2 linked regions of the Caenorhabditis elegans genome follow. The protein of the gene in region 1 purifies or fractionates together with the protein of each later gene. This does not show direct contact. Each region holds a gene or a part of one and is shown on either strand. Other genes may lie near its edges. The genes, in order: chd-3 and mes-2.

What was found.
Region 2: the proteins of chd-3 (region 1) and mes-2 purify together in Caenorhabditis elegans (affinity purification with western blotting, with the first as the bait; one study listed by BioGRID). This does not show direct contact.

What each region holds. Positions count from the first base shown.
Region 1 is NC_003284.9:12,842,685-12,859,318, reverse strand, and holds chd-3 (Chromodomain-helicase-DNA-binding protein 3 homolog), read left to right. Parts: upstream 1-6,717; 5' UTR 6,718-6,735; coding exon 6,736-7,071; intron 7,072-7,125; coding exon 7,126-8,148; intron 8,149-8,214; coding exon 8,215-8,646; intron 8,647-8,695; coding exon 8,696-9,348; intron 9,349-9,394; coding exon 9,395-10,724; intron 10,725-10,994; coding exon 10,995-12,265; intron 12,266-12,314; coding exon 12,315-12,559; intron 12,560-12,627; coding exon 12,628-12,701; 3' UTR 12,702-12,880; downstream 12,881-16,634. Other genes in the region: T14G8.2 (F-box domain-containing protein), read right to left, coding at 7-284, 596-1,106, 1,221-1,300; C52G5.3 (uncharacterized protein), read left to right, coding at 13,176-13,319, 13,422-13,508; C52G5.2 (THAP4-like heme-binding beta-barrel domain-containing protein), read right to left, coding at 14,057-14,182, 14,238-14,341, 14,686-14,792, 15,082-15,182, 15,459-15,527, 15,867-15,938. UniProt on the Caenorhabditis elegans protein: ATP-dependent chromatin-remodeling factor that has a role in notch signaling-dependent vulval cell fate determination. May also have a role in pharyngeal precursor cell specification.
Region 2 is NC_003280.10:14,378,153-14,393,815, forward strand, and holds mes-2 (Histone-lysine N-methyltransferase mes-2), read left to right. Parts: upstream 1-5,820; 5' UTR 5,821-5,823; coding exon 5,824-6,490; intron 6,491-6,873; coding exon 6,874-7,442; intron 7,443-7,884; coding exon 7,885-8,033; intron 8,034-8,077; coding exon 8,078-8,295; intron 8,296-8,715; coding exon 8,716-8,908; intron 8,909-9,173; coding exon 9,174-9,406; intron 9,407-9,622; coding exon 9,623-9,833; intron 9,834-10,065; coding exon 10,066-10,147; 3' UTR 10,148-10,302; downstream 10,303-15,663. Other genes in the region: sdz-26 (SKN-1 Dependent Zygotic transcript), read left to right, coding at 3,620-3,685, 3,860-4,144, 4,201-4,380, 4,434-4,619, 4,670-4,951, 5,002-5,157; F26H11.8 (uncharacterized protein), read left to right, coding at 10,361-10,416, 10,468-10,672; kbp-3 (Kinetochore-binding protein 3), read right to left, coding at 11,146-11,173, 11,439-11,532, 11,576-11,704, 11,760-11,913; nurf-1 (DDT domain-containing protein), read left to right, coding at 12,568-12,860, 13,532-14,188, 14,287-14,371, 14,432-14,694. UniProt on the Caenorhabditis elegans protein: Polycomb group (PcG) protein. Catalytic subunit of a the mes-2/mes-3/mes-6 complex, which methylates 'Lys-27' of histone H3, leading to transcriptional repression of the affected target genes.

The sequences.
Region 1 (16,634 bases):
ACACACCCTTTGAATTTTTCCATGAAAACATTGTTTTCTGTCCACTCAATAGCGGCCACTCCTTGGAGTGCATATCTCAAATCGATATTGTCAGCGTTTTGACAGTGCAAAAACCTCAATCTCTCAAATGTTTCTCCATCCACAAACGAGCTTATTATGGTTTGTATGTTTTGGTTATCCACAATAAGTCTTGAGATGAGAACAATTTCGAATAATCGTTCATGGAAGTAGTCGTATTCGAACCATTCATTTGGGTTCACCGGCAACTTTCCACTTGTAAAATTCTGAAAAGCATGATACTGTGTTATAAATTTGAAAATGAAAAACAAGTCATATTTTATGAAAAACTTCCACATCAAAATTAACTTCGAAATATTCAATCTTGATTAAGCGTGCCGGAAAAGACGATAGCAATAAAGAATTAGCTCAAACGGTAGATACAACACGAAAAATTTCGTTTTTATGTTGAAATTTCTTTTGAGATGGAATACATTGTTATTAGTGATGAAGTTAAATTTGACGTGTCATTTTTGTTTTACTTTATTCATAATTTTTTGAGTTAGAATTTTTCAATTAAATTTCTATGAAATCTGACTTTACTGGTAATTTTCGTTCTCGCAATTCTAGCCCTATCGGAGAAACCGTCCATGGCAACAAGCTGCTTGTTATTCGAAAACATTTTCAAATACTCATGAATTGTCTGAGAAGCATCATCACGAACAATGTACTGGCTTTCTTTGAGAAATTTGAGATCCATTTGAGATATCCGTTCTTCATTTCTATCTTCAGTGGCAATATAGAGAATAGTTTCTAATTTGGCTCTCATAAAAAAGTTTTGGAAAAAATGGACCAGTTGCACAACTATGTCGCGATGGTTTTTGGAATGAGTCCACCACGTATTTTTAAATACATGAGCTTTTTCAGTAACGGGTCCAATGGTTTTTATCGATTCACTTTCATCCCAAAATTTGGTTTTGTAAAATAGCCAGGTGAAACCTTTGATTTTTAGTTGACTTTGATCAGTATAAAAGTTTACTGTGAACTTTTCGGTATTGACATGTTCACGTATTGAGTTATACAGAAGAGGATTGTCCGAAATTTGCAGTCTAAAAATTGCATATTAGTTTGAAGTGTTTTTTTTTCAATTAATAAAAACAGTTGTGAGTGTCAAACATATTTCAATGCACATTTAGTAAAATTATTCACTATTTAAAACTTACAGATCTTCAATTGGCATGAAATTTAAAGTCTTGATCATGACAAGGTGAGGGAGACGCAGCAGCTGGAAACCATCGTTCATTTTGATATTGCCTGAAACAGGATTAGATTTTTAGATGAATTGTGCGAGAAATACGACACGTATGAGAAAGAATGAAAAGAATGTTGATAAAAAACACCTACGGGTAAATGTTGAAGGAAATTTTAAATGTTAGTATTACGTTTTTTTTTTGAGAAAGAGTACTTTAAAGTGGAAACTAATCAGAAGATTTGATTGAAATCCGAACGCTTGAATGTTTCTCCAATTGATAGAATGAAGTTAGTTATAGAGACGCAGAGAGAGAAATATTTTGTGTATATTTACGCGAACGCATATGAAGCGAACACAAGTCATTATATTGTTCGGAATATCAAACACCTAATTTGAATGTCGTTTCATAAAAGAACCGGGTAAAACTAAAATCTAAAAACAGTAGAAGAGTCTACATGTCATTAGCAACCCAGCAACGGTGAGATCTAAATCAATCAATAGGTTATTTATGAACACTATAAAAGGAGAGACAAACCACCCACACCACCGTCTCTTCTCACCTTTGTGCGAGAGAGTTGTCTCTAGCAGGTGAGCCTGTGCAACAGTTTTGGAGCTGACAAAATCTAATGCAGAAAAAATTGTGTGTCCAGTTGTGGGGAAAAACTAAAATTGTTTCAACCCCGTAAACCTCCTTCATGTTCAATCAATAGTGACATAAATCCTTTCGACCATCGTCATAAAGATTGCAGATAGCGAAGTTGAAGATGTACCAACTATACTGGTTGGTAGTTGAGACATGTTGATTCACATCCAGTACCTCTTCCCACCTTTTCATTACCTTCTAGGGTGCCTTCTTCAGCATGTGCGCTTCTCTACTGGAGTTACTTACTTTGATACTTTGAAGTCCGTTTGGATCAAGTTAACAAGCAACTTCGGACAAATTCTCTCCAGTTTTCACGTTCAGTGCGGGCGCTCTATAACCATGGAACCTTTGGAGAAAGGATTCCAAATCTTTTACAACTCTTCCTTGAAGAGCCTCGGGTTGTTAAACGATTTGAAGGCGTCGTCAATGTCTTTTGTCCATCGTTTCTTCGGTTAACCAGTTGCTCTCTTCCAGTTTTTGTTGTGGCAGGGCTCCCATTCAGTACAAATTTTGAGCCATCTGTTAGGATCTCTTCTCAAAACGTGACTCGAGGCCTTTTCATCAAACATTTCACTGCTCTTTTCTGATTTTCTAAGAATTTAGAATACCCTTCCTTACCCAATTAACGAAATTACCCAAAAAATACCCAATTCAAATCAAACACCCCCTTTTCTCGCTTATGACAACAAAAAATGAAATTGAACTCGTAATTCTGTCTCTATAAGTTTTCACAAATATTCTAATAATCTTTCAGATTTAGAAAACTCACAACAAAAACGAGTATGGTGTTTGCGTATGAACGTCACATTTACGACCTAACAAGGGAAGTCTTTGAGGGGGTCCGTAGATTTGGGATTCTCATGCTAAAATTCCTACAGAAGAGTGTTAGTTATGATCTCTCCAAAAAATTTAGCTGCCCCGGTCAAGTTTCAGCAAAGTTATGACGTTTTGAAATTTCAGTTAAAAACACCATTGAAATCCACTGTCTTACCATGCAATCCACGCAAATCTCAGCTTGCGTGACCACCGAAAATGTGACACCCACCACATTGAGTTGAAAAATGTCCTCGGTGGCCGAGTTGGGAGTGCGCGCGTCTGATAAGGTTTAAGCTTTGGTTCGATTCCTTCTATTTTTGAAATATTTTTGTAAGTTGAATAAAGTTGTAAAACAACTCATTCAAACATTTTTGCGCATTTTTAAAGTGATTTTATTCTTATTCGGGAACCTAGAATCATTGTCCGCACTTTTTGGAAATTTTTATTTTTTTCATTTTTGTTCAAAATTTCTTGATCAACTCCAAGCAAAAAAATCAAAAAATTTCATTTTTCTAAACAATTATGAAATTGCTATGTTGTTGTTCAGAAATGTATGAAACGTACATTACACAAGTTTTAACTCTCTATTCGCAAGTAAACCGTCGAAATGATACATCTCACGAACTTTGTGAAAAATATTTAACCAACTTTGAAGTTGCATAACTTCGTTGAGATAAATTATTTTGAAAAATGATCAACTAACAAAATGTTTGTTGAATAACAGTGAACAAAGTTTTAGTTATAAACTTTTTGATACCTTCAGCCACCAAAAAGTTGTGACCGTTTTCCAAAACACAATGTTAATAGAAAAACTAGCCAAATGCCAACCTTGTTTTCTTCTTTGTAGCTGGAGGTATCAAAAAGTTTATAACTAAAACTTTGTTCACTGTTATTCAACAAACATTTTGTTAGTTGATCATTTTTCAAAATAATTTATCTCAACGAAGTTATGCAACTTCAAAGTTGGTTAAATATTTTGCACAAAGTTCGTGAGATGTAGATCATTTCGACGGTTTACTTGCGAATAGAGAGTTAAAACTTGTGTAATGTACGTTTCATACATTTCTGAACAACAACATAGCAATTTCATAATTGTTTAGAAAAATGAAATTTTTTGATTTTTTTGCTTGGAGTTGATCAAGAAATTTTGAACAAAAATGAAAAAAATAAAAATTTCCAAAAAGTGCGGACAATGATTCTAGGTTCCCGAATAAGAATAAAATCACTTTAAAAATGCGCAAAAATGTTTGAATGAGTTGTTTTACAACTTTATTCAACTTACAAAAATATTTCAAAAATAGAAGGAATCGAACCAAAGCTTAAATCTTATCAGACGCGCGCACTCCCAACTCGGCCACCGAGGACATTTTTCAACTCAATGTGGTGGGTGTCACATTTTCGGTGGTCACGCAAGCTGAGATTTGCGTGGATTGCATGGTAAGACAGTGGATTTCAATGGTGTTTTTAACTGAAATTTCAAAACGTCATAACTTTGCTGAAACTTGACCGGGGCAGCTAAATTTTTTGGAGAGATCATAACTAACACTCTTCTGTAGGAATTTTAGCATGAGAACCCCAAATCTACGGACCCCCTCAAAGACTTCCCTTGAAAACGTTTAATTTGACGCGCAAAATGGGCAGCTGCTGTGAATCAAAGGAATGGCGGAGGTTGAAAGACGCGCGATTGTCCAGGAAACATGGCCGAATGGTCTATTGGTATGATTCTCGCTTTGGGTGCGAGAGGTCCCGGGTTCAATCCCCGGTTCGGCCCATTCATTTTGATGAAAATTTTTAACAATTCAACTTATTTATTGAACAACGAAGTCGGACGGATTAATAGGTGACACACATATCCTTGATGCAAATGCTTTTACAGTTGTGACATCCCAATTCCACTTTTGCTGTAGCCAAAGAGACCAGAAGAAATACCATAAGGAAGAGGAAGACGGATCGGACAATAGAAAAGGATTTCATGTTGAAATTTTACAATGATGCTCTAAGACAGACTGATTTCTTATATAGTGCTGAAACGTCACATGACAAATGCGTAGGAGGTTTTAATGGGAATATGTAAATTTCATGGTTTTGACGTTTTTTCCAGAAAATGTTCTGAATCATAAAAAAAATCAACGGGAATCTATGAAGATCAGTGATCAAACTCAAAATCTGTGTGCTCCTGTGATTTTTCTAATCCTCTATACCAATTAGAAGAGCCTTGGGCGTGTACCAGCTCACATGTTCCCTTGATGCGCGACTGGACATCTGTTGTGTGCACATCGGGTCTTCGCTCTTTTTCTCTAGTTCTGTAGTCAGTAACGTTCTCTACAAAGTCTAATTACTAGCCAAGCAGTTTATCGATTCTTGTGCAACGTTTATTCGATTCCTCTGTTCAGAACTCCAACTCTTTTTTGTTTGCATGTTGCTATTTTAGTCCCCTCCACCACTTAGTATATTAATCTTTAGAAAATGCGATAAGCTCAGTTCAGAAATTCAATAAAATATATATTCACATGGTTTCAAATTTTTGTAAAATGTGGTTTGAAGATGGCTCTCTCAATACACATTCCGTTGTGTATTTTTTTTCTGTATACGTGCGTAGTACGTAGTACACATTCAATTTTTTCACGATCGAGTAGCACGTTTATTGTTAACAGTGGTTCTACCGTTTTTATGCTTAGGGATCTGAAAAACTTAATATTAAATTGACGAAATCGACAAAATCGACGAACTGCTTAAAATGATCGGCATTAATTTGCTTCCTTCACTAATTTTGAAGACTACCGTTCTAATTCACTCTTCGATCAGAACCTGGATGAGACTACCAAAAAAAGAGTGCTGCGAATGCGTTCCTATCTATTCGTAGTTTCATTTACAAGGGCACTCGTACCGCTGTGTGCAATGCGCACGTCCTAAAACACCTGTCCTTCGTGCCTATCGATCGTTGGTTAGGTCTCTCATGGTCACTCCATCTTTCGTGTGAGACACGTCGGATGAGAAGACTCCACCCATCTGGTTTCTCTCGTTCTAGCTAATCTGCGGAAAATATTCGTCCGTGCTCGCTTCGGCTCCAGCCTCATTTAATCCACATTGATTTTTCATTCGACGCCTCTCTCCATTGCGAGACTGCAATTTTGTATTTGATAAAAATTTTATTTCCTTGCTCTACTACATCATATTTTCTATGGTTTTCATGATTTTCCCTATTAGCCATTGAGATCCTGTATCATGTTTCAAAATTTGAATAAAAAATTCGATCATTCGACCTTTGTCCTATTTAAAACTTTCCAAAATAAATTGTGACTTTCTTATCAGTTTTCGTCCTCTCTCCACAAAGCTCATCAGTTATTCTGAACAAACGTGAGCTTCTTTCGAACTTTTATGCCCGTTATGTCTTCGTCTCGTTGCATATCTCTTTCTCTCATTTTTTTTTATCTGACCGAGTTCGCAGTAAACAAACACGCCAGCGCGCGCGCGTCTCTGACCCTCACACTAGATGTCCCCGCAATGACGCAACGAGTGGGACACAATGAGACACCCCTGGCGGGACAATCCCCTTATTCAGATTTTTAATGTGTGTCTTCATTAATGTCTTCCAACTAGTCTGGATAATTTTGAAATCCGAAAAACGGGTTTTCTTGAATCTTATTTTCACACTGTGTCATCATCCTTGCGCTATGAGAAAAAATTTTTGTGGAGCATCTTTGAATCTTTTAAAAATAAAAAAAAAATCAACAAATCAATCCGGTCTCTCACAAAATATTTGGCAAAGTAATTCAACTCACAGCCACAGACCGTTCTCAAGATGGAAATTTGGTATTTTTTGGAACTATGCATTTGCGCTCCATTGCTAAGTCCGCATAAAATTTAGGATTTCGGCGGTAAACTTTGTACATAAAATAGATAGGCTCAGTTATTTTGTTGCTTGGTCATTCAATTCTGGTTTTCTTATTCTTCGCTTATTCTCCTCGTAAAAATATAAAGACGAATTTAATAACATTACTTCTTTCAGTAATTCCCATAAAGAACAATGTCAGACGATCAACACGAATCAATCGACGGTGATGAGACAATGGAGGAGGATTCCATGCTAGCAGAAGGTCATGAGGATGGAGAAGAAGATGTCGGCGAAGATGAGGAGGAGGTGGAAACTGAAGAATCTCAGGGAGTTCCGACCACTTCTGAGAAGAAAAAACCACCACCAAAAAAGAAGAAGGGCGGAAAGAAATCTTCGAAAAAGAAAAACAACTGTGATTACCCGGATCCGTATAAGTCGACAAGCGCAGAAATCAGTGCAGCAATAGGATTGACCGACGTTGATGTGGACTATGAGCAGGAGGAATTTCAGTCGATTACCAATTTGAAAGTGAGTTTTTTAATGTACGATTTCTTGTCCTAAACAAAAACTTTAAATTTTCAGAACTTTTCGAGTCTTGTCAAGCCATACATTTTAAAAGTGAATCCCGGCACAAACGTCACAAAGATGTACCCTCTATTTCAAGTAAAATACAAAGAATTTCAAGATCACATGACAGCACACGGCAAATCAATTCAAAAGCAACAAAGAGCGAAGTTTGTTCCGGTACCCGTTCCGGTGACACCTCAAGAGAAGATCATTCCACAGAAGACTCGTTCTTCTGCTCGCAGAAAGCGTCGTGACGGATCAGATGGTGAAGGTGGCGGTCACGACAGTGATCAGGAGTTTGAGGCCTTGATCAAACAACATGAAAAGCAACAAGATGAAGCTGAGAAGGGGAAAGAAGAAGCTCGCATTAATCGGGCTGCAGCAAAAGTGGACAAACGTAAGGCCGCATTGGAATCGGCTCGAGCATCGAAACGAGCACGTAAAGAGCAAGGAGTGGTGGAAGAAAACCATCAAGAGAACTGTGAAGTTTGCAATCAAGATGGCGAGCTTATGCTCTGTGATACTTGTACTCGTGCATACCACGTTGCATGCATTGATGAGAACATGGAGCAGCCACCAGAAGGAGATTGGAGCTGTCCCCATTGTGAAGAGCACGGTCCGGATGTTTTGATAGTTGAAGAAGAACCAGCTAAGGCAAACATGGACTATTGTCGAATTTGCAAAGAAACCTCAAATATTCTTCTATGCGACACCTGTCCAAGCTCTTATCACGCCTATTGCATTGATCCTCCACTTACCGAAATTCCCGAAGGCGAATGGTCCTGTCCGCGTTGCATTATTCCCGAGCCGGCTCAAAGAATTGAGAAGATTCTCAGTTGGAGATGGAAGGAAATCAGCTATCCGGAGCCATTGGAATGTAAAGAAGGAGAGGAAGCAAGCAAAGACGACGTGTTCCTTAAACCTCCCCGCAAAATGGAGCCTCGTCGAGAGCGGGAGTTCTTTGTCAAGTGGAAGTATTTGGCTTACTGGCAGTGCGAGTGGCTTTCGGAGACGTTGATGGATGTCTACTTCACAGCGGTATGTTTGTGTCAGGAAAATTTAAAAAAAAAACTTTTGTTTATTAAATATGATTATTTATTTCAGCTTGTTCGCATGTACTGGCGGAAAGTCGATTCCGAGAATCCACCGATTTTCGAGGAGTCTACACTCTCACGCCATCATTCCGATCATGATCCATACAAACTACGCGAGCGTTTCTACCAATATGGTGTTAAGCCTGAATGGATGCAAATTCATCGTATTATCAATCACTTGTCATATGCAAAGTCTCAACAAGACTACCTAGTCAAGTGGAAGGAGCTATCTTATGAGCACGCGACCTGGGAAAGAGATGATACGGATATTGCCAACTATGAAGATGCGATCATCAAGTATTGGCATCACAGAGAACGCATGCTGAACGACGAAGTTCCTAGAAATGTGCAGAAGATGATTGCTAAGCAGCGTGAAGCTAAGGGACTGGGACCTAAGGAGGATGAAGTCACCTCGAGAAGAAAGAAACGAGAAAAAATTGATGTAAGTTCAATAAATAAGTTTTCAAAATTCACCATTTCGTTTTTTTCAGATCCTCAAAAAATACGAAGTGCAACCAGACTTTATTTCGGAAACTGGGGGAAATCTTCATCCATACCAATTGGAAGGAATCAACTGGCTGCGACATTGTTGGTCGAATGGAACTGATGCCATTCTTGCCGACGAAATGGGTCTCGGAAAAACCGTCCAATCTCTGACATTCCTGTACACACTCATGAAAGAAGGGCATACCAAGGGGCCATTCCTCATTGCTGCTCCACTGTCTACTATCATCAATTGGGAACGTGAAGCCGAGCTTTGGTGTCCAGACTTCTACGTCGTTACCTATGTTGGAGATCGTGAATCGCGCATGGTCATTCGTGAGCATGAGTTTTCATTTGTGGATGGAGCCGTCAGAGGAGGGCCAAAAGTTTCCAAGATTAAGACATTGGAAAACTTGAAATTCCACGTTCTTCTCACTTCATATGAATGTATTAATATGGATAAGGCAATTCTTTCATCCATTGACTGGGCTGCACTAGTCGTTGATGAAGCTCATCGTTTGAAAAATAATCAATCGACATTCTTCAAAAACCTCAGAGAATACAACATTCAGTACCGTGTGCTTCTCACTGGAACTCCACTTCAAAACAATTTAGAGGAGCTGTTTCATCTTCTCAATTTCCTCGCACCAGACCGCTTTAAGTAAGTTTTTAACTAGATAGGGTTTTTTATATCGTTAATTTTTCAGCCAGCTTGAAAGCTTCACAGCAGAGTTTTCCGAAATCTCCAAAGAAGATCAAATTGAGAAACTTCACAACCTGCTCGGCCCACACATGCTTCGTCGTCTTAAAGCTGACGTCCTTACTGGAATGCCATCCAAGCAAGAGTTGATTGTCCGTGTAGAGCTCAGTGCGATGCAGAAGAAATACTACAAGAACATTCTCACTCGCAATTTTGACGCGTTGAATGTGAAGAATGGTGGAACCCAGATGTCGTTGATCAACATCATTATGGAACTTAAAAAATGCTGCAACCATCCGTATCTCTTTATGAAAGCGTGTTTGGAAGCTCCAAAACTTAAAAATGGAATGTACGAGGGAAGTGCGCTTATCAAAAATGCCGGAAAATTTGTCCTTCTGCAAAAAATGTTGCGAAAGCTGAAGGATGGAGGTCATCGCGTGCTGATCTTTTCACAGATGACGATGATGTTGGATATTCTTGAAGACTTTTGTGATGTTGAAGGTTACAAGTATGAACGTATTGATGGAAGTATCACTGGTCAACAGAGACAAGACGCAATCGATAGATATAATGCTCCGGGAGCGAAACAGTTTGTCTTCTTGCTCTCTACTCGTGCTGGAGGATTGGGTATCAACTTGGCTACTGCTGATACTGTCATCATTTATGACTCTGACTGGAATCCTCACAATGATATCCAAGCTTTCTCACGTGCTCACCGTCTTGGTCAGAAACACAAAGTAATGATTTACCGCTTTGTCACAAAAGGATCAGTTGAAGAAAGAATCACATCAGTTGCCAAGAAAAAGATGCTTCTCACTCACTTGGTAGTCCGTGCTGGTCTGGGAGCTAAAGATGGGAAGAGCATGAGCAAAACTGAACTTGACGACGTTCTACGTTGGGGTACCGAAGAGCTTTTCAAAGAAGAAGAAGCTCCAGTTGAGGGTGCAGACGGAGAGGGAACCAGTTCTAAAAAGCCGAACGAACAAGAAATTGTTTGGGATGACGCTGCAGTCGATTTCCTGTTGGACCGAAACAAGGAGGAAGAAGGTCAGGACGGTGAAAAGAAGGAACATTGGACTAATGAATATTTGAGCTCTTTCAAAGTAGCCACTTATAATACGAAAGAAGCAGACGACGCAGATGATGATGAAGATGAGACAGAAGTCATCAAAGAGGGAACGGAAGAGCAAGATCCAAACTATTGGGAGAAGTTGCTCAAGCATCATTATGAACAAGACCAAGAAACTGAGCTACAGAAGTTGGGAAAAGGAAAGCGAGTACGTCGCCAGGTCAATTATGCCAGTGAAAATATGGGACAAGACTGGTCTGCTCAAAATGTGAGTTGTTGTAGTTTCTTTTTTTTTCCATAAATGATAGCCAACGATATTTGTAGTTTTTTTGCTGCCAAGCTCTCACTCACAACTGCGGCGGCAAATACGCTCTGTTGATAAAAAAGCGCATGCCACATGAAACCACAAAAATATTTGCTGACCAAATTTTGATTAGTTCTGAAAACCAAAATAGTGAGGGCATGTTATTAAATTTATAATTGAAATGCTTATAAAGGAAGATCAATGTAGTTGTTTTCTTGATTTTTAAATTTTTAGAACCAACAACAAGAGGAAGATGACGGCTCAGAATACGGATCCGACAATGGGGAACTACTCCAAACTGACGAAGACTATGAGGAAAGGCGCCGACGTCGCGAGGAACGATCCGAAAAGCTTCCACCACTCCTTGCCAAGGTCAATGGCCAAATTGAGGTTCTCGGATTCAACCCACGTCAACGAAAAGCCTTTTACAATGCTGTCATGCGTTGGGGAATGCCACCACAAGACCTCACCCAATCATCATGGCAAGTTCGAGATCTCAGGAACAAATCGGAAAAAGTGTTCAAGGCGTACTCATCCCTCTTCATGCGCCATCTGTGTGAGCCGGTTGTGGATAACAGTGACTCTTTTATGGATGGTGTTCCACGTGAAGGTCTCAATCGTCAAGCGGTTCTGAGTCGTATCGGCTTGATGTCGATTCTGCGCAAAAAAGTGCAAGAGTTTGAAAAATTCAATGGAGAATGGTCAATGCCAGAGACACGTGAAAAGATGTTGGCCACCGCAGCTCAAGCATCAGTTTCGAATTTACCTGGAATGATTAAGATCAAAGAAGAGCCAATTGATATTGATGAGACTCCGATGGATGTTGATCAGTCCAATATAACTAAAACAGAAGAACTTGCCAGTGAAGTGAAAGTCGAGGAGGAACCCAAAGCTCCTCGTTTACCATACAAATTTAATATTTGCGATGGAGGATACACTGAGCTTCATAGTCTTTGGATTAATGAAGAGAAGGTGGCTCGCAATGGAAAAGAGTATGAGATTTGGCATCGCCGGCACGATTTCTGGCTTTTGGCAGCTGTGGCAGTCTATGGCTACGGACGTTATCAAATTAACTTCCAAGATATTATGAATGATCCGAAATTTTCGATTGTAAATGAGCCATTCAAACAAACTGGTGCAGATCCTGCCACTAATTTTGCTGACGTGAAGAACAAGTTTTTGGCTCGTCGTTTCAAACTTCTCGAGCAATCACTGGTCATTGAAGAACAACTTCGTCGTGCAGCTCACATCAACAAACAACAGTCTCCTGACCAAGTTGGCCAATTGGCTCAGCATTTCTCGGAGCTGGAGCACACTGCTGATGCTCACGTCAATATTGCAAGAGAAAGCAACAATGGAAACAGAAATGCTAACGCGATTCTTCACAAGTGCCTTGCCCAACTCGATGATTTGCTTTCCGACTTGAAAACCGACGTTGCAAGACTGCCAGCAACAATCTCTCAAGTTCGGCCAGTCACCGAAAGACTTCAAATGAGTGAACGACAGTGAGTGATTAACGAGAAATATATAAAACTGGAATTTTATTCTTTGCAGAATTCTATCGCGCTTAGTAGTCGCCAAGGATCCCGATGCTGCTCCAAGCAAGCCAGCACTCCCACCAAGCGGACCATTCATCACACCTTTGTTCAATCAAAACTTCACCACTATCCAGCCAAAGTTTCCTTCTCTATTTGACTGTAATTTGTCGCCTGATGATGAACCTATTGATATTGAAGGATCAATATCTGCAGCTGTCGCCGAGGCATCCCGAGCATCATCAATTGCTGCAACGAAGGATGGTTAGTGGCTAATGTTCAAACTTCAAGTTTGAGATGACAAAATTAGCAATACATTTTATTGATTTCAGAGCCAATGGATACATCTGACAAGGATATTCCCTCAACGTCAGCAGCTGCTGGTTCGTCCTATCCGAGATATTAAGCCACGTGGATTTTAACTTTGGAATAACCGTGAATAATTGTCATTTTTCTTGTTTACTTAAAATGTTCGGTCTCTTCTCATTTTTCATTTGTCATTGTCGTCAAAATTCATGTTTTGCCGATTTTTGTATAATCATTCATTGAAAACTCTTTGTATCGCACATAAACATTGATATTTCGTCTCAAGTATATTAGTTTGGAAATTGGGTAAGCTTCAAATACTATGATATGAAAAATTGGATGTTCAAAGTACTGGGTGGTCAGAAGCGAACTTTTTTGCAGAGACGATTTTTTTTTTAAATTTAATGCCGGTGGTTAAATACGACACAAAAACATGTGCTTTCAAGTTGTCAAGTTTCAAAAAATCAAGCCGCTATTCAAACTCCGGAAATCACTTTTCTAACAATGCAATAATTGTTCCTGGCGGCACACAACAACCGTGAAAAGCAATAATTGGCTTCAAAAACTCTCAGTCATGGCAAACGAAGTGGTCGAAAAAATCTATGAGAAGATCGACAAAGAACTCGGAGAGCAACATGTTGAAGAAGTCGTCAAAAATTTAATGGTTAGTGAGAACAACGAAGATGCGAGTCGACAGCTGATGGAACTTCATAAACAGGTATGTATTTTTTGTATTATTTTAATTCTTTTTGAGTTATTGGTCTGAGCTTCAAAATGGGAAAAAATGCTTCAATTGCCACACAACATTTCTTATTTTCAGTGCTGCGCAGTATTTCTCAACTATTCCTCACAGAGACCAACTTCCCGCACTAACTCAACAAAAAAGAAGATTTTAAATAAATCATGAAAACAAAAAATGTGTATAAATTTGTTTATATTTTATAAAAATCGTCAACAGTTGTTTAAAAACAATGTTTCCTAGAGATAAAACATTTTAATTAGCTGGTTTTGTTTTTAAATGTCAAAACTAGATTTTTTTTGTTATTATTAAAAAAAAAACCTTTTTCCACACACACCATTTCCACACAGTTTTGTTTTTTCGGCCGTAAATAAAAAAAAACAAAGTATGTATAAAAAGCGTGTCAAATTCATAAATTTGGTTAAGACTAAACAACAAGAATTAGTATCCAACTGCTGCCAAAAAAACAAAATATGCTCAAAATGAAAAGTGAAAGCAGTTGCCTCGGGATTGCAAAAGTCAGCAACACTTTCCATAATTTGAAACTCCGGTGAATTGTTCATTCGTAGAAAATTATATCAAACGACATGGTACAAAATCATAAAATATTTATTCAAAAATGTACACGCAATGGCACTAAGCACAAAAACGCAAACTTCAAATTATTCAAGGCAATTTTCCAAAATATATATTATTTTATGGCAACAACTGAGGAATCATTTCAATTTGGTGTAGACCACTCTGGTATGCTCAAGATATCCGACTTTTGGGTGTGTAGCCGTCCTCATTTCAATCACTTGCTCCATATACCGGTCGTCGTGGCGAATGAACGTTCTTCGCAACTGGAAATAATTAAAATAGCAGTGCAAAATTCTATATGTAATTAGAAACGCGTACGTCCTCAACAGGTAAATCTCGAGAGAACGAGATGCGTCCGATATCCTTCAATGTGAGAACCAGTTTGTTTGGCGACACGGTGCCAGTTTCGTATGTGGTGAATCCTGCAATTGGGTTTCGGACTTTTTCGAAATTCAAAAGTGGCATTTTAAATGGTATGGAATGTTATGATACCAATAACAAATAATATCGAATGCTAAAAAACTTAAACACACAAGAGTGTACGAACAAAAGAGATGAGAATTTCAAAATACCTTAGCTTTGCTGTAAGAATTTTAATAGTAGAATCTTTATAAACTAGTGCTACTTGTGTTGTAACCACATAGGTTGGCATTTTTGCTCCTGTGTAGAATACTAAAGGTTAACAGAGTATAGTTTTTTTGTAGGATTGGAGTCAAACGTGCCCTGTCAGTCTAATCGACAGAGCCTTGAAGTTTTAAAAGCTCACCATTGTTTCCTGTAGTCATCAAAGTGGCGTTTCCAACTGGATCAACAGTCAAGAATCCCCATTCGTCATGGAAGTGGTCCTTGGTAGAATGAGACCATGCACGTGCTCTGAAACATCAACCGTTGCACTTTACCGAATTTTTAACGTTTCACTTGATTAATGATCACTTCCTTCAAATCGAACACGTTTTGCGCCCTGTTTAGGAAAAACCACACTACTCAAAAAAAAAAACACTAATGAAACTATCTCTGTCTGATATCTTTCAATGACAAAAATCGGACATAAGGAAGTGCGTGAAACTTTCTCTTTCGGTGAGTTTTTGTTTGTTACAGTCGATTTGGTTTGCTATGCAATGTTGACCTATTGCTGAATAATTTGAAGGTCAAAAAAACTTACGAGAAGTTTAAGAATTGTACATTGGCTGATTTGGCAATCGGTGCCTCATTGATGACCAATTCCTCTCCAAATGTCATTGTAGGCACAGTTGGCCAAAAAATCTGAAAATACCGAAAGTTGGGAAATTAGTTTATTTTTTACGTGGGTTTATTGAAATCAATTTTAATTTAAAAAAATTACCGAGACAGATCTCGAAGATCACTACACGATTTACTTTTTTGACAAATTGATGTAAGCGGTTTACAAAAACAATAGCTTCCCATACAGCAACTAACCCTAAACTATCTAATGTGCAAAGACTGAGGAATTCATGGAAAAACTCATATCCATTCAATTTTTTGTATGTAACTCTCACATAACATTTATGGAAAACGCACCTTTCCTGAAAATTCTGACCTCCATTTTCCAACAATCCATTCAAGTTTCTGATTGTGTTCATTGAGAACCTGCAAAAATACAAAAATTAAAAAAGTAGACTGATCTCGGGCGGGCTCGAACCACCGACCTTCTGTGTGTTAGACAGATGTGATAACCACTACACCACGAGACCGCTGAGTAAAGTGCGAAAAGATGCGCGTAATGTGCTGCTGCTAAATTGAAGAAGAGTCAATAGAAAGATGCGTGCAAACCTTGAAGTGCGTGGCGCCACAGAAATAAAAATTGTGTATGAGTACAACACAGGACATAACTTTTAATTCAATGCCACAACTATTAAAGAAAAAACCTATGATCACAGTGTACGATTTTAATACACACAATTTATTTTTTCAAAAATCAATTCTTACCTGTTGAGAAATAGGAATAAGCATACATAATAAGAAAGCTGAAACGTAAACGTGGCTTTTGCACGACGACATATCCACAAAACTGCGCCGTGTCCTCTTCGCCCCTTTCCAACAACGACGAGGAGGAATGATGACAGTCAAATGGAAGGGCGAGACCGGTCTACCATAGTCGGTTTCTCTCCTCGGCGTCTCCACCCACTAGTGCGGTCTTTCGGACAACGTCTTCTGCGCGTCCACCGTTCCTTCTGTGCTTTTCGTTTTTCTTTCCGCATCCATCTTTTCTTTTCGTACACACTTATAGAGAGACCGCCTTGACTGATCCCCTTTTGCTTCTACACCATATCACTCCCTCTCTCTCCGCTTTCCTGTCATATGAACACCGCTTTATTATTGATGTAAATTACAGATATGTTCCCTTCTGTCACCTTTGCTTGGGTCATTTTCATTACACGAAAATCGTTTTTTTTTCAGTTCCTTGTTTGAAACGAAAACACGATAATTACCGAAGAAATGGGGAAAATTGTGGGTTCGATCGGCAAACCGGATGGGTGAATGATTTTTTTTCGTATGGTTATTTAAAACTGCACAATTTGAAACCCGAATTATCATTTTCGTTGAAATTGAAACTGAATATGGCTTGTGGGAAGATAATCAAAATTCATTAAAAATAATAATCTAAGTGCAAAAAAATGAACACAAAGTAAATATTTCAGGTTGGTAAAATGCTAATGGTGAACTATAGGTACACTCAAAATAATAAAACTGCGT
Region 2 (15,663 bases), on another chromosome or scaffold:
AACTGCTTTTTTTTCTCAAATAGACAATTGGATCCACTCATTTATTTTTGGCTCTTTTATTTGAAAATTGCAAGGGTTTTTGGTCGTTTTGGAAAACGTAAAACCCGTGGTTTTTGGATTTTTGGGAAAATAAAGGAAAATAGGGGAATTTTGATCGAATTTCCATGATTTTTTCGATAAGTAAATGAATATACCGCATTTCCTCTATTAGTCTTGCATGCAAGACTAATTTTCAATCAACCCATAGGGGTGCAAGACTAATAGAGACTGCAAGACTATTAGAGGCTGCAAGACTAATTTTCGAAAGCCCAATAACTTTGGAAGAGTTACCAACTTTTGTTGAAAACTTAACTTTTTACCGTTTGAGCCATGTAAAATGCATTCTTTTCCCATATTTCATAAGCTATTTAATCACTTTCAAGTTCAATTTATCCAAAAAATTACAAAATTGTTAACGTTTCCTCTTAGTTAGTATAGCTGGCTAGGCAAAAATAGGAGTGCAAGACTATTTGAGACTGCAATATTAATAGAGGCTGCAAGACTATTTTTCGATTGACCTCTAGGGGTGCAAGACTAATAGGGGTGCAAGGCTAATAGAGGCTGCAAGACTATTTTTCGATTGACCTCTAGGGGTGCAAGGCTAATAGAGGCTGCAAGACTAATAGAGGAAATACGGTACCTATAACCTGAAAAAATACACCACTTAAATATACCTTGAAAAATACATGCACCTTTAAATTAACTTACAGTTAAGCTCTTTCTGATGTCTACGTAATGCCTATCTTCAAGGCGACCTACAACTGTCTCATGCCTACATTTTTTTAAAATTTAAATTTGCCCTACATTTACAAATAATCTTCAAAAATATGAAAGCTCACTTTTTCGAGTAAACCGGAAATGTGACAGAGAATGAAAAAAAAAAAAGAAATTGTGGGGTTTTCTCAGTCATCCGAGAGAAAAATATATGTACATGAGAAAAAAGTGGTGTGAAAAAAGAGTGTGTGTGTGTGTGTGTAAGGGTCCATGTAATACACCGGAAGTACATTTGATTTGGACCATAAAATTGTTAGAATGTTATTGGAAAAGAGAGAATATATGAAAAATTGGATATGGGCTTGAGAAAAATGTAAAGGCTGTCGGAAACTTTTCACTTTTCAGGCATAAAAATGTATACCTTATTGGCGACCTACGCCTGCCTCATCCCTACTTTTGAAGTGACGCTCGCTGTCATTAGTAATGATTTTTGGACAGAACATTGTTTATAAATAACTAAAAATGTTTCCTTTTGCTAAGAAAAAGTTTAACGACGTAAACAAATTTCAGAAACATCAAAGACAATCTCAGTTTTTCTCAACATGTAAACAAAAATCAGAAAAACCGAAATTCAAAAAACTAAATTTAATTTGAAATTCAGAGATACATATAGAAGGAAAGAAAATCTCAATGACTAGTACAACGAATTACTGCCAATGTGTCCAGAATCCCCCAAAAGAAATTCCGAAAACAAAACAATTTTGGACATCGAAAAAAAATATTGAGGGAGATGCTATAGAATGCTCTATTCTATAACATTCTATCCGTTTTTTTTTTCAAAAAAAAAAACAAAAAATTCGTAGATTCATGTAGATTTTTTCAACATTTATCTTGAAACTTTTGAAATTGTTTTTTTTTCAAAATCTTTAAATTTATATTTCAATATTGTTTTCCAAATTAACTTTGAATTCTTAAAAGTTTTGTAATTTTTGAAACATTCGTTTCATCTCAAATTAAAATTGAATTAAATACTGGAAATTTTTCTAACAAGTTAAGTTAAATTTTAAATGTGAAAATTCCCAAATTTTTGTGTTTTTATAAATTTTTCAAAATGGGTGAAACGAAGCTGACAAGGGTGGTGTTTTTGGGCTTACCGACAAAAAAAAATGTAAATTTTGTGTTTTCGTCACATTTTGGAAGCTCAAGTTAGAACACCAGACATTTCAGAATATGCAAGTTTGAAGTGGAATACTCTAATTTGTAAGGTTCTGGTTCGGCATGCTAAAACTAAAATTTAAATTTTGCTCCAAGGTCTTACAGCAATGGGTCTCAAGTTAAAAACAAGTTCAGTAAGTTTTAGACAATTAAAACTACTTTTGGAAATTAAACTAAATTTTTCTAACCGGATTTACCTGAGAATTTTCAAATGTATATATATTATAAATCCCAAAAAATAAACAGTTAATCTTACTAAAACAGAAAAGTGGAAAAACGTCAGAGTATACTTCAAAATTTTATGAATTTTCGTCACCGGAAAACTTGTGCAGTCAAGCGAAAATATCTTAAATCTCTTGAAAAAGTGAGCTGGTAGGTTGACCCTTGCTCACATTTCTTCTTTGCTCCTTCTCATTGGCCCGCCTCTTTTTAAGAATAAAGTGAGTCTGCAAGATGAAGTGGAGGAGCAGTGAAGCGGTGTTTGTCGAATTTCCGTTCGACTCTTTTTGAGAGGACCAGGAGACCACGCCAAAAAATTGAGGTGAAATCGAAAAAATGTATTTCAGAAAAAAATCCTATGAACTTATTTTTGTGAAATTCAAGGGTTAACTGGATCATAATTGATGTGCCAAACTTTAAAATTCAAATTTTTGCTCACCAAAAACGTCTCTTCTCTGTCTGACCGCACAGAAAATTTCCGTCGAAGAAATTATGTACAAATAAAAATATTTAATTCCACCAGAAGCGGTGGTAATCATTTGGAACTTTCAGGACACCCATTCCCGCTTGTCTTTGCTCTTTTTTACCCCCGTTTTATTGCTCCTTTTTAGTACACCGCCGTTTTCCGGAAATTTCCTCGATCGTTCGGCACAATTGGTCCAAGGGGAGTCGTCAGAAATGAGAATGTATATGAGAACTTTCAGTATTTTTTTGTGGGAAATAGAGGTTTTTGAAAAGTGTTCTGGAAAACATGAAATTCAGCATATGAAAAATCACTTAGGGGTTGGAAAACTTTCCGAAATTATCCATTAAAAAATCTGAAATTCGAAGATAAAGATGTATTAATTATTAAATTATGCCATTTACTCTTTGCCATATACCATATACCATATACCATATACCATATACCCTAACTGCCTAGGCTCCTAATTGATAAAATAGTCTGAGTACATACATAGATTAGGTTACCGAAACAAGTTCCGCACAGCCATTTTAAACATGCCAACAGGCAGGCATGAAGGAATCAATATTTATAACAAAAAATGTGCTTTTTTCCAGCATTTTGAAGTGGGATTATGATTGAACGTCTGAACATTTTTGTCATGAACTAATGCTCATTCCCCATACCTCATTACGTCAATAGAATCAATAAATACGAGCTGTCATGCGCATCGCCACAGTGCTCCCGAAAGTGTAATTACAGCACTCTGCCGACGTGCTGCAATGCTACATTGACCTCCTTCCCTGGACAAACGCTGCAATGTTGCAGCGTCCGAGGAGACAAACAATGAAGAAGACCAGGTCAGTCTTTAATATTTTTTTATGGTGTTTGGTGACCTCTTTTTCTGTTTTATTAAAGTTATTTTTCTAAAATCTTATAGTATAACTTATACATTTTGTTCAAATTCCAGATCAATTCTCCAGATCAAAAATGAACCGAACTGAGATCGAGATCGAGCTTTTCGCACGTGTCATCAAGAGCGGACACGAAGAATCGGTAAGTAAATAGCTTTTATTTTGAATCGTAATGCTTAAATTCCCGTTGATTTTCTTTAGCCCTACCTTCCGGGGCTGTGCGGCTTGTAGAAAAATTGGGTTATCGGCTGAAGCCGACAGCCGCACAGCCCTGCTAACTACTACATATACTCAAAATCCAAATATGAAATTTCAGATCCAAGAAGTCTTGAAAACGTTGCCGGAAGTCCCCTTTACCGTCGAAATCCTGGACAAGTGCAACATCGCATGTCTGATCGATCAATTTGTCCCGAACTTAGCGCCGGCCACCGACTTTGCCAGAAGGATCAGAAAATGGAGGAACGCAAGCATGCAAAGGGAAAAGGCCAAAATTGTAAAGTATTTCACATACGGAACATTGTACGATTTTGGTGGAACATTTGTCCCGGACCATGTTTTGAAGCTTCTCACTGATATGATGTGTTTCGATGATTTGGCTCTTGTAAGTTAAATGGTCACTAATTTCAGCGGGAATTCAAAAACAATTATGGTTTTCAGGTAAAATGTGCCTTCAAACTTCTCGGTGCATTGGAGCTATCACTTGCGGATTTCGAGTACTATAGAGTGCACGAGACTGCTGCTCAGTTCCAGTACAGATTTGTTGAAGCAGACGAGTTGGTGCGAAAAATTGAACAATTGCGACGGGAGCTGTCAGACGAGTCGTTGCTGGATCAAGATGCATGTTTTTTTTCAAAGAAAAGTTTAGGGTAACTATTAATTTTCCATTTTAGATCCCAAATCTCGAAATGGATAATTTCGATCAGACAGAGCTGCTCCCAAAACTTCTCGATAATCTCCACTTGCATGGTGATCAAGAGGAAGGGCACTACAAAATGATGGAGAATTATGAGTGGGCCCTTTGGGAAGTTCTCATGGTGCACCTGGTGCAATCAATTAAGACTGGGAATCGACGAGTGGTGAGTTATAGATTAATTTTTACAATTTAAATTATAATATGATATTTCAGATCACAAGAGCCATAATCCACCACCAAGAGCACCGGTTTCCACTGGCACTTTACAGAAAATACGAGATCCAATCACTGATCCGAGCTCTTCCTCGTAAGATCTCAGCTGCTTCACAACTATTTGATGAGATCGAGCTAATTGAGGAGTCCACATTGAATTCCCAGCATATTGAAGCTTTCCGGGAGGTGAAAAAAGCTGTGAACGGAATGGAAGAAGGAGAAGAAGCATGGCCAGTGCTCATGTCTTTGATGATGGGATTCTTGAAGCAAGACGATGGATTTGTGAGTTTACCTCTGATGTTTTTCTCTATTTTCAAAATAATATTTTTCAGGTTCACGGAGCCGTTGAGTTGCTACTGAATTGCAATATTTCACGGGAGCGATTTGTCGAGTTTGCGGTGGAGAATACTCTACTGAATCTTCCATATCGAACTGAAGAGATCAATGAGCTACTGGTGAAGATTCGGAGCATGGAACCGCGTCAATAATAGATTTAATTTTCTTAAAAATTTTTTTTGTAATTTTTCCAAAGTTCAAATAAAATTGTTCTTGGAATTATTCAGCCTTACTAGTAATAGTTAGTATGCAAAATTTTGCAAATATTACGGTACCCGGTCTCACCAAAACCAATTTTGGTTAAATGCAAAAAGGTGTGTGCCTTTAAAGACATAATTGCAAACTCTCAGGAATTTTCATCGATTTTTTTATAAGTAGGTTTTCCTAAATCCTTTTTTCGAAAATTTATTGATTTTTTTTCTATATTTAATATAAGCTTTTTAATATATTGCGATCGGAAAAAATTCGATGAAAACTCCGCGGCCACGAAAATTTGACTTTTATGTACTTTTTTAAAGGGTGCATATATTTTCGCATTTAACAAAAAATTGCTGTGTTGAGACCTGGCACCGTATTTTTAGCATAAAAATGGCAGAACTTCGCGCCTGGGTAACATATTTTGCAAAAAGCATTTGGTTTTCCTTGTCAGATTCAAATTCCAAACCTTCGCGCCAACTTCACATTATCAATAGGGCGCGATTGCACGCAACACTTGCAATGTTTTTAAAAATTAAAAATTGTTTGTTTTCGATTTATTCTCTCGTCTTTTTCGTCTTAATACAATTTTCTCCCTTTTTAAAACGCAATATTCTTTCAGAATGAGCAACTCAGAGCCCAGCACATCAACTCCCTCAGGAAAAACAAAGAAGCGCGGGAAAAAGTGCGAAACTTCTATGGGAAAATCGAAGAAATCGAAAAATTTGCCTCGCTTTGTGAAAATTCAGCCAATTTTTTCATCTGAAAAAATCAAGGAGACCGTGTGCGAACAAGGAATTGAAGAATGTAAACGTATGCTTAAAGGCCACTTCAATGCTATCAAAGATGACTATGACATTCGAGTAAAAGACGAGCTGGACACAGACATCAAAGATTGGTTGAAGGATGCGAGCAGCAGTGTTAATGAATATCGCAGAAGGCTGCAAGAAAATTTAGGAGAGGGCAGAACTATCGCAAAATTTTCATTCAAAAACTGTGAAAAATACGAAGAAAACGACTACAAAGTCTCCGATTCCACAGTTACATGGATCAAACCGGATCGAACGGAGGAAGGAGATTTGATGAAGAAGTTTCGTGCTCCGTGTTCACGTATCGAGGTTGGCGACATTTCCCCGCCAATGATATACTGGGTTCCAATCGAGCAAAGTGTGGCGACTCCGGATCAGCTGCGGCTCACGCATATGCCGTATTTTGGCGATGGTATTGACGATGGGAATATCTATGAGCATTTGATTGATATGTTCCCAGATGGAATTCATGGATTTTCGGGTGAGAAATTGCAAAATACCGGATTTTTTCCATTTTCTCTGAGAAACCCCCAAAAATCGAAAAAAAAACAGGCGGGACGAAGGTACCATTATTTCTATTTATTTTTACATTTTACATTCAAATTGCCTAATTTCTCACTTTTCAGTGAGAAATCGCCGTAAAATTTTTTTGAAATTTTATTTCAATTAATGTCATTTTGAATGTCAAACACAAAATTAGTTTTAAAAAATAGCCTTGAAAGTGAAAAATGCGAAAAACAAGTTCCCACTTGTCCACGTGTAGTTCTAAATGTTTCATAAATCGACATGCATCAAACCTCGGGACAATCTTGCAAATCCTTAGCTCCAGGTATTTTTTAAGCGAATTGATGTTAAATTTTTCAGACAACTGGTCCTATGTCAATGATTGGATACTCTACAAACTATGCCGTGCTGCGCTCAAAGACTACCAAGGCAGCCCAGACGTATTCTACTACACCCTCTACCGTCTATGGCCAAACAAAAGTTCACAGAGAGAATTTTCGTCGGCTTTTCCCGTTTTGTGCGAGAACTTTGCTGAAAAAGGATTCGATCCGTCGAGCCTCGAACCATGGAAGAAGACAAAAATCGCTGAAGGTGCTCAAAATCTTCGAAATCCGACGTGTTACGCGTGCCTCGCATATACATGTGCGATTCACGGATTCAAAGCCGAAATTCCAATCGAGTTTCCGAATGGTGAATTCTATAATGCGATGCTTCCGCTGCCAAATAACCCGGAAAATGATGGAAAGATGTGTTCTGGAAATTGCTGGAAATCGGTGACGATGAAAGAAGTTTCAGAAGTTCTTGTGCCGGATTCTGAAGAAATTCTGCAGAAAGAAGTGAAGATTTATTTCATGAAATCAAGAATTGCAAAGATGCCGATTGAAGATGGAGCGCTCATTGTGAACATTTACGTGTTCAATACATATATTGTAAGAGTACGCGATTTTTGCGCCAAAACCTGGCCTCGACGCGACAAATTTTTGTTAAATGCGAAAAGGCGTGCGTCTTTGAAGAGTACTGTAATTTTAAATTTTCAATAATTTTTCTAACAAGGGAAGAGTTCAAAAACTATTCCTGAATTCGGAATAAAAATAGTGTCATGCGATAGTTGGAGGTCTGAGATGATCCCTCCGAAACATTTTTATTGAAAAATTATATTTCCAGTGAAATTAATTTCTCGCAAGTTTTCTCTTTTTTTTAAAGCTATAAAGCTTGATTTTGCACCTTTTTCGTTATTTTGTTTTTCATTTTGCGTTTAAGAGTTTGTATATTATGTAAATCAAACTATTTTAAACAAAAAATAGCGAAAAATAGGAAAAAAGGGTGCAAAATCGAGCTTTATAGCTTAAAATGCAAAAAATCCATTCTCAGCCATTCTGCGAGTTTGTCAAAAAATATGTCGACGAAGACGACGAGGAAAGCAAAATTCGTTCATGTCGTGACGCATATCATCTAATGATGTCGATGGCAGAAAATGTGAGCGCCCGACGACTTAAAATGGGACAACCGTCGAATAGATTGTCAGTTGACGCGATTTTTTATATAAAAAATTGAATTGTTTCAGAAGTATCAAGGATCGAGTCAACAACTTCCGTCGTAATCAGTTGAGTCAGGAGAAGGCGAAGCGTAAGCTGCGTCACGACAGTCTGCGTATTCAAGCATTGAGAGATGGTCTGGATGCGGAAAAATTGATTCGAGAAGATGATATGCGTGATTCTCAGCGAAATAGCGAGAAAGTTCGCATGACCGCGGTGACGCCAATCACAGCGTGTCGACATGCGGGTGAGGAATGGAAAACAATTATGGGGTTATTCGTGAAATGTAGAAAAATGCAATAATTTGTTTTTATACATTTTTCACCTACCCATGTGCATCGAACAATGTAGCATTAATTTTTTGCATTTTTCGACATTTTTCGGCATTTCCTGCATTTTTCGACATTGGGCGACATCCCACTTCTCATGCTGAAGGCGAGACACGCAGAGAAAACCCGCGGGTGCATATCTCTCTGCGTCTCTCGCCTTCAGCATGTGAAGTGGGCTGTCGACCGATGTCGAAAAATGCAGAAAACGAATATTTTTTTGTATTTATTGGACACACATGTATTTATTGGACACAAATGAATGAAAACACATTTTTGCACATTTTACTACATCGCATTAATAACCCCATTAATTGAAAATTAATTTTTAAACATTTCAGGCCCATGCAACGCGACAGCCGAAAATTGTGCATGTCGTGAAAACGGAGTGTGCTCGTACATGTGCAAATGCGATATAAACTGTTCTCAGCGATTCCCGGGATGCAATTGCGCCGCCGGTCAGTGCTACACGAAGGCTTGCCAGTGCTATCGAGCCAATTGGGAATGTAATCCGATGACGTGTAATATGTGCAAGTGAGTGCACAGGAATTTTTTGAAAAGTTTTTTTAGTAAGCTTTAATTTTTCAGAACTTCCAGAAATGGAAATTTTAAGAAAGGAAAAAATTAAACTTTCCAAAAAAAATTGATCGAACTGAAAATTTCTCGAAAAAGAAGGACCAAATGTCCATTAAAAATCTTCAATCAAAATCCCAAATTTAAAAAAAGGTATATAAAATCAAAATAGCACAGAAAAATCGAATTTTGTACCTGAAAATTCTCAATTTAAAAACAAATTCAGATGCGACGCCATCGACTCGAACATAATAAAATGCCGCAATTTTGGAATGACTAGAATGATCCAAAAACGAACGTATTGCGGGCCATCGAAAATAGCAGGCAATGGACTTTTCTTGTTGGAACCCGCCGAAAAAGACGAGTTCATTACGGAATACACTGGTGAACGAATTTCCGATGATGAAGCCGAACGACGCGGTGCGATATATGATCGATATCAGTGCAGCTACATTTTTAGTATGTACTTTTTTTAGATCACGGTGTCGCAGAAAAATGTTTTAAATTTAAATTTTTTTTGGGTTTTTAGAGACAACATTTCGATTTTTTGAAAATCAAATAAATAAGAAAAAATTATTTCAAAAAATTAACAAAATATCGAAAAAAAAAACCATCAAAAGTTTTCTTTTTTTTTGAAAATTCAATTTTTCGGAACAAAAAAAAATATTTTTGCAGACATTGAAACCGGGGGTGCGATCGATTCGTACAAAATTGGAAACTTGGCACGATTTGCCAATCATGACAGCAAGAATCCGACGTGCTACGCGAGAACGATGGTTGTCGCCGGAGAGCACCGAATTGGGTTCTATGCGAAGAGACGGCTTGAGATTAGTGAAGAGCTCACATTTGACTACAGTTATTCTGGAGAACATCAGATAGCGTTCAGGTAGATTTTGCAAAAAGCTTTTCGGGTCTCGAGACGACTGCAGCTACCGTACCCTCTAGTTTTTTCCACTCAATTTTTAAAAATTTATAACACAAAGATTTTTTTGGATCAAAAAAATCATGATAAGCCGTAGAAAATTGTGGTTGGTTACGGTAGCTGCAAATTTTCGGTCGCTTCGAGAACCAGTTTTGTGTAGACTTTCAACTTGACTTTTTGAATAAACTTTTTCCAGGATGGTCCAAACCAAGGAGAGATCCGAGAAGCCCAGCAGGCCCAAAAGCCAGAAACTCTCCAAACCAATGACTTCTGAATAATCTTTTTTCTTGACTTTTTTTCTTAAATTTTTCCCGTTGATATCACTTTCAAATCTCAAGATCTACTTGTTTAACTGTTATTTCCCTAGAATCTCATGTTTCTGAATACATTTTCCTTCCTTCAAATTTCTGAAAACCATAAATATAATCGAATCAAAATTCCTCCTATAAAATCGCCCGACACAGCACAATTTTTTCACTTCTTCCTTAAAGATGGTGATTTTCTTCTTATTTTTCTTATTTCCCATGCTGCTGGAGGCTTCGGAAACGTAAGTTGGATTTTTTTCTGCAGGAAAATCTGAAAATGACAAAAATTCCAGTAGCAGAAGCTTAATCGAACCACCGGCCGTAATTCCTGAGAAACTCAAAACATTTTGCCAGATCGATCCAACGTACGAGATTTGCGTGAAGCTTGGCATTCCGAAAGCTGCGAGAAAGTTTGCAGCGAGATCCAAAATCCAGGGAAGACAGAGAAAAGGCGTCGATTGTAGGCAGGCCCCATTGCATCCGGGTTGTCAGAGATAAAAATGTTCCAAATATTATAGAAAAATTCCAATTATAGAAATGTGTACCTGGACAAGTTCATCGCGTGGAAAATTCATCACGATTGCGAGGTGAATCCAAATGGAGAATTTTGCCCGAAAACTTTGAATCGGAGAGCTTCTGCTTCTTGTCCATCCTCCTCCACATCTTCATCGTCTTCTTCGTCGTCGTCCTCGTCTTCCTCATCATCATCCTCTTCTTCTGAAGAATCCCTGGCAAGAGTGAGACCGGCTCCTGTAGAAACCACGACATCACAAGAAAATCCACAATCTTCCGCTAACACCTGGGAACTTTTGAACAAATTTTCCTCGAACGGAAGAGAGAAGAGTTTCCCTAATACCTTCTACGGAACAATTGGAAACTATTGAAATGTGATGATGATAACAATATAATAAATGAAATGATTTAATATACATGAAAAGAAGGCATAATTGATACGTGGATGAAAACCAGAGTTAGACCAAGATGTTGGAGAGGTTCGATCTGAAAAAAATACACGTTTAGTTTATAAAGAAGGATTTTTTGGTTAAATAGCTTTAAAATGGACCTATATAAACGAGTCTGGTGGTGAAATATCAAAATTTTTACCGCTCTTCAGTGCCGCCCGCATAATAATAATTAAATAAACATTAAGTTCCGACTGCTGCCAGCCACACAGTAAAGTAGGCAAAACTGAAGATTTTAGTCCAGATTTTAAAAACTTTTGAGCAGTTTCTTCACAAAACTTATTTTTAATTAAATCCCTTACAATTTCTTTCTATTCCCATCGTTAGGCTCATTCGGCGTGGTTTTCAAGAGATTGACGTCATCCGTCCACTTCGCAGATATTGCTTCCAATTTTTCTGGAGTAAATCAGATAAATTGTTTCAAAGACTATCAGCTTACTGTTAAATTCCCGCTCATTTCCAATTTTGTTCTCATCGTCCAATCTTTTTAGTTTTTCTTCCAGTTGCTCAGTTTCAAACATATTTTTGTTCAGTAGCTGTTGTTCGAATGACTGTTGCTCGTGGCGTTCTGAACAAATGTTTTGTTTTATGCACACATCTAAACAATTTCCTTGCAAATTTACCATCGATATGTTTTTGAGCATCGATTCTCGTTTTCATAATTTTTTCCTGGCATTTTTGGAGTTTCCGCATTCCTTCATCAACTAATTCGTCTTTCTCATTGACTGCCTTAAGACGATTAATAATCTTGTCCATATACTCGTTGAGTGACTCCATTTTGCCGAAAAACCTGCAAAAATTCAATGAAAATCGGTTAAAAACTAAGATAAATAAATAAAAATGCGACAGCAAAATTAGCAAAGATAAATTCCAACTCAAATTCCCGCGTCAAGAGGGCCAAGGTCTCGTCGCGACCATTGCAAATAAATGTGTGCGCCTTTAGGGTGTGCCTCTCGCACTGAGTCGATTTACGGCGCGGCGCGTTCAAAAAAGTGTCCAAACTGATTATTTAGACGGAAAAGTGAAGGAAAATTTCGGAAAATTATTATTTTTCCTTTTTTCCCATTGTTTTTTATGTTTCCACTTGAGAAAAGCCGATTTTCCGCTGGAAAATGAGTTTTATCCCATTATCGATTTTTTCAGCTTCAAAAATTAAGATTTCGTACTGTAGTTTACCAATCCTGGATCCTTTTTTAATGTATTTTTATCTAATAATGTTATATTCCGATTGTCATTTCTCGCAAATTTTATTGATTTTCCTCCAAAGACCATATGATGACGTAAAATCTTTTTTTCTTGGATTTCAAGCTCTTTTTCACAATTACCAGTGTTCTAATTTGATTTTAAATTTATTCCTTTCGAGGCTTTCAATATTTTTTGACGAACATTCTTAAGCTTATCGATTTTCGAAAAGTTTCGAAATTTTTTCAGATGGCTCCACCACGTGGCCGTTCAAAGCGAAAGCATCCGTCTGAATCCGGAAATTCTTCAATTGCCGATTCAGAAGACCCATCAGAATCCACATCATCATCTCGTCCACGCCGCAGTCGACTTCCGAAACGTTATTTTGACGACGGTTACAGTCCACCGCCAACAAAAAAACGTGCGGCTCAACGGGAAACACCATCAGACGCCGAGGAGGTGGAGGTGAAGATTGAAGAGATCTCGGTTAGATCTACACCTGCGTCAACACCAGCACCAAAGAGTACCTCGAAGGCTAGAGGGTGAGAAATCAAGAAGAAAAATAATTTCAGAAATTCCGCTGATTTCAGATAATTTTCAATTAAATGCTTTTTTCAAGTTTTAACGCAAATTCTTAGGATATTTCCGCTTTCGTCAAATTTTCAATCGAAAAAACGTATAATACGCTTTTTCACGTCGTTCACAACAAATTATTTAGATTTAAAGAAAAACTATGCAAACCCATTTGCGATGTACAAAAATTTGTCGTTTCGAGATCATATTTTCGCGCCTGGGTAATACCGAATACAACTGCAAAATGTTTCGAATTTTTGCAAATATTCAAATTCCGAAGGAACTATGCTTGCGTTCTCCGGCCAATTTTTCGGGTTTTCTTGATTTTTTCTCATTTTTTCAGAAATCGAAAATTCAAAATTCTTTTTATGATAGTTTTGCGGAAAAACGCCTGAAAACGAGGCTACAATTTGCATAATCAAGAAAAACAAAAATAAAGTGTTCCGCAAAAAAATTAAATTTTGTTTTCAGAAAAATGGAATTTTACTCAAAAATTGAGATTTTTTTTTCACAATCATGGATTTTTTTTCCAAAAAATTGGGAATTTTTCTGAAAAATCCCAATTTTGCAAAATTAAGAATATTTAGAAGCTATATAAATCTGCCTGTTCAGATTAAAAATAAATTCCATCAATTTTCAGCCGACCCAAAAAAAATCCAACTCCACCACGTCGCAAATCGCTAAAACGCCAAGAAGAAGACATTATCTACATGGATGAGGATTCTGAAGAAGAAGAAGAATCTTCGGACGATGAGTTCATGCTAAATGAGGATCAGGTTGTTCAGGAGGAAGAGGAAGAGTTGAATTTAACAGATATTAAAATCGAAAAAGGTCTCGACGAGGAGAACAAGTATTGTCCGTGGTTGGATGAAGATCCTGCAAGTCTACCAAAACTCGAACTACCAGAATCTAGTCAGGATATTCCGATTCCAACGGCTAGTATAATGGATGCTGTTGAAATTTACGAGATTCTCCGATCTTATCATCGAACTCTCCGCATCACACCCTTCACTTTTGAGGACTTTTGCGCGGCACTAATATCGCACAACAACTCATGTATTATGGCAGAAGTCCATATGGCTTTGCTTCGTAATTGTCTGAAATCCGACGATGAAGAGCAGACGCACTACTCGGTGACCGAGACGAACAATTCTGTAAATATAATGATTCACCATATGGATACACTGACCTACGCTGAAATTCTACGACAATATATTGAGGCGTACCCGTTTGCTGATGCGTCTGTTAGAGATGCTATTAATGTCGATAATTATCCGTTTGTGGGATATGATGCAAAGTAAGATTCAATTTTAAGAAAAATCCTTTTTTTTTTAAATAAAATCGCAGTATACAAAGAGACTTTAGTTTTTTTTTTAATATTAAGCATGTTTTCAGACTCGTCGTCCTTCTCTTCATGAGCTACCGTTTCTTATATTCGTCGGAATTTAAGAAACTTGTGAATAATGTTGGAAAATTCCAGGTAAAACTCTCGTTATATAAAAAATTTAACTGAAAGAAATTCAAATGTTTTTTTTTTCAGAACGACGAAAACTGCCGAGTTTGCGGTAAATCGTCAGGACGTGTAGTAGGTTGCACTCAATGCGAAGCCGCTTTCCACGTGGAATGCAGTCATCTGAAGCCATTTCCTGAGGTTCTTGTATGCAATATATGTAAAAAGAATTCAGCAGTTCGTGGTGTACTGCCGCCGGATGAAGCTGTCGACCGGGAACCGTTAAGATCTCAACCAATCGGAAGGGATAGATATGGACGATATTATTGGTTCATTGTTCGACGTCTTGTTGTGTAAGTTTTTTAAAGTGGAGTAGCGTCTGTGCTTTTTTTACCTGAATGATAGAATATCGTGCCTATATACCAAATATAACTGTAAAAAATTATAACATTTTTCTAAATTTTTTAATGATTTGTTTCAATTTTGAAAAAATAAAAAGGGCTCAATTATTTTTGAATTGTCGCGCAAATAAGTGACGTCTTTTTCGGATGTTTTGATTAGTTTTTCTTCATTTTTTCTTTGTTTTAATATTTGTAGATTTTTCAGACATTTTCCGGACAGAACACTTTTAGAGGCCAAATTATCGATTTTTAGACAAACTTTAATTTTTTTGGCACATCAATTTAATGTTTGAATAAGTATTCTAAAATTTGCCTAAAATTTGCCTAAATAATATGATATTTTTAAAAGGTTTTTTTACGGAAAAAAAGTGTCTGAAAAATTGACGTTCAAAATTTTCAAATTATAAAACAAAGAAAAAATAAAGAAACTCCAATTAAAACAGCTGGAAGAAATGCCGTCACTCATTACGCACGGGAATACAAAAATAATTCAGCCCTTTTTTTCAAAATAAAAAAAATCATAAAAAAATTAGAAAAATGTTATAATTTTTTAACAGTTATCGTATATTCTCTATTAGTGCTGCATGTAGCACTAATTTTCCTACCCTTCTTGAATGCAGCACTATTAGAGACTGCAGTATTACTGGAGACTGCAGCATTAATCTTCAAACGGCAATTTTCAATTAGAGAATACTAGTTGTTAGTCACAAAACCTCTTATTTTTAGCAGAAATTCATCAAAAAATATGAACTTTCGTACCAAGAATGACCCAATAATTCAATTATGTTTGTAAATAAAAAGAAATAATCAAAAATATGCAAAACAACTCCCCAAAATGCCGAAACTACTAGTGACTCTTCCAATTGAAAAAGGGACGCAGCACTAATAGAGACTGCAGCACTAATTTTCCTACACTTTTTG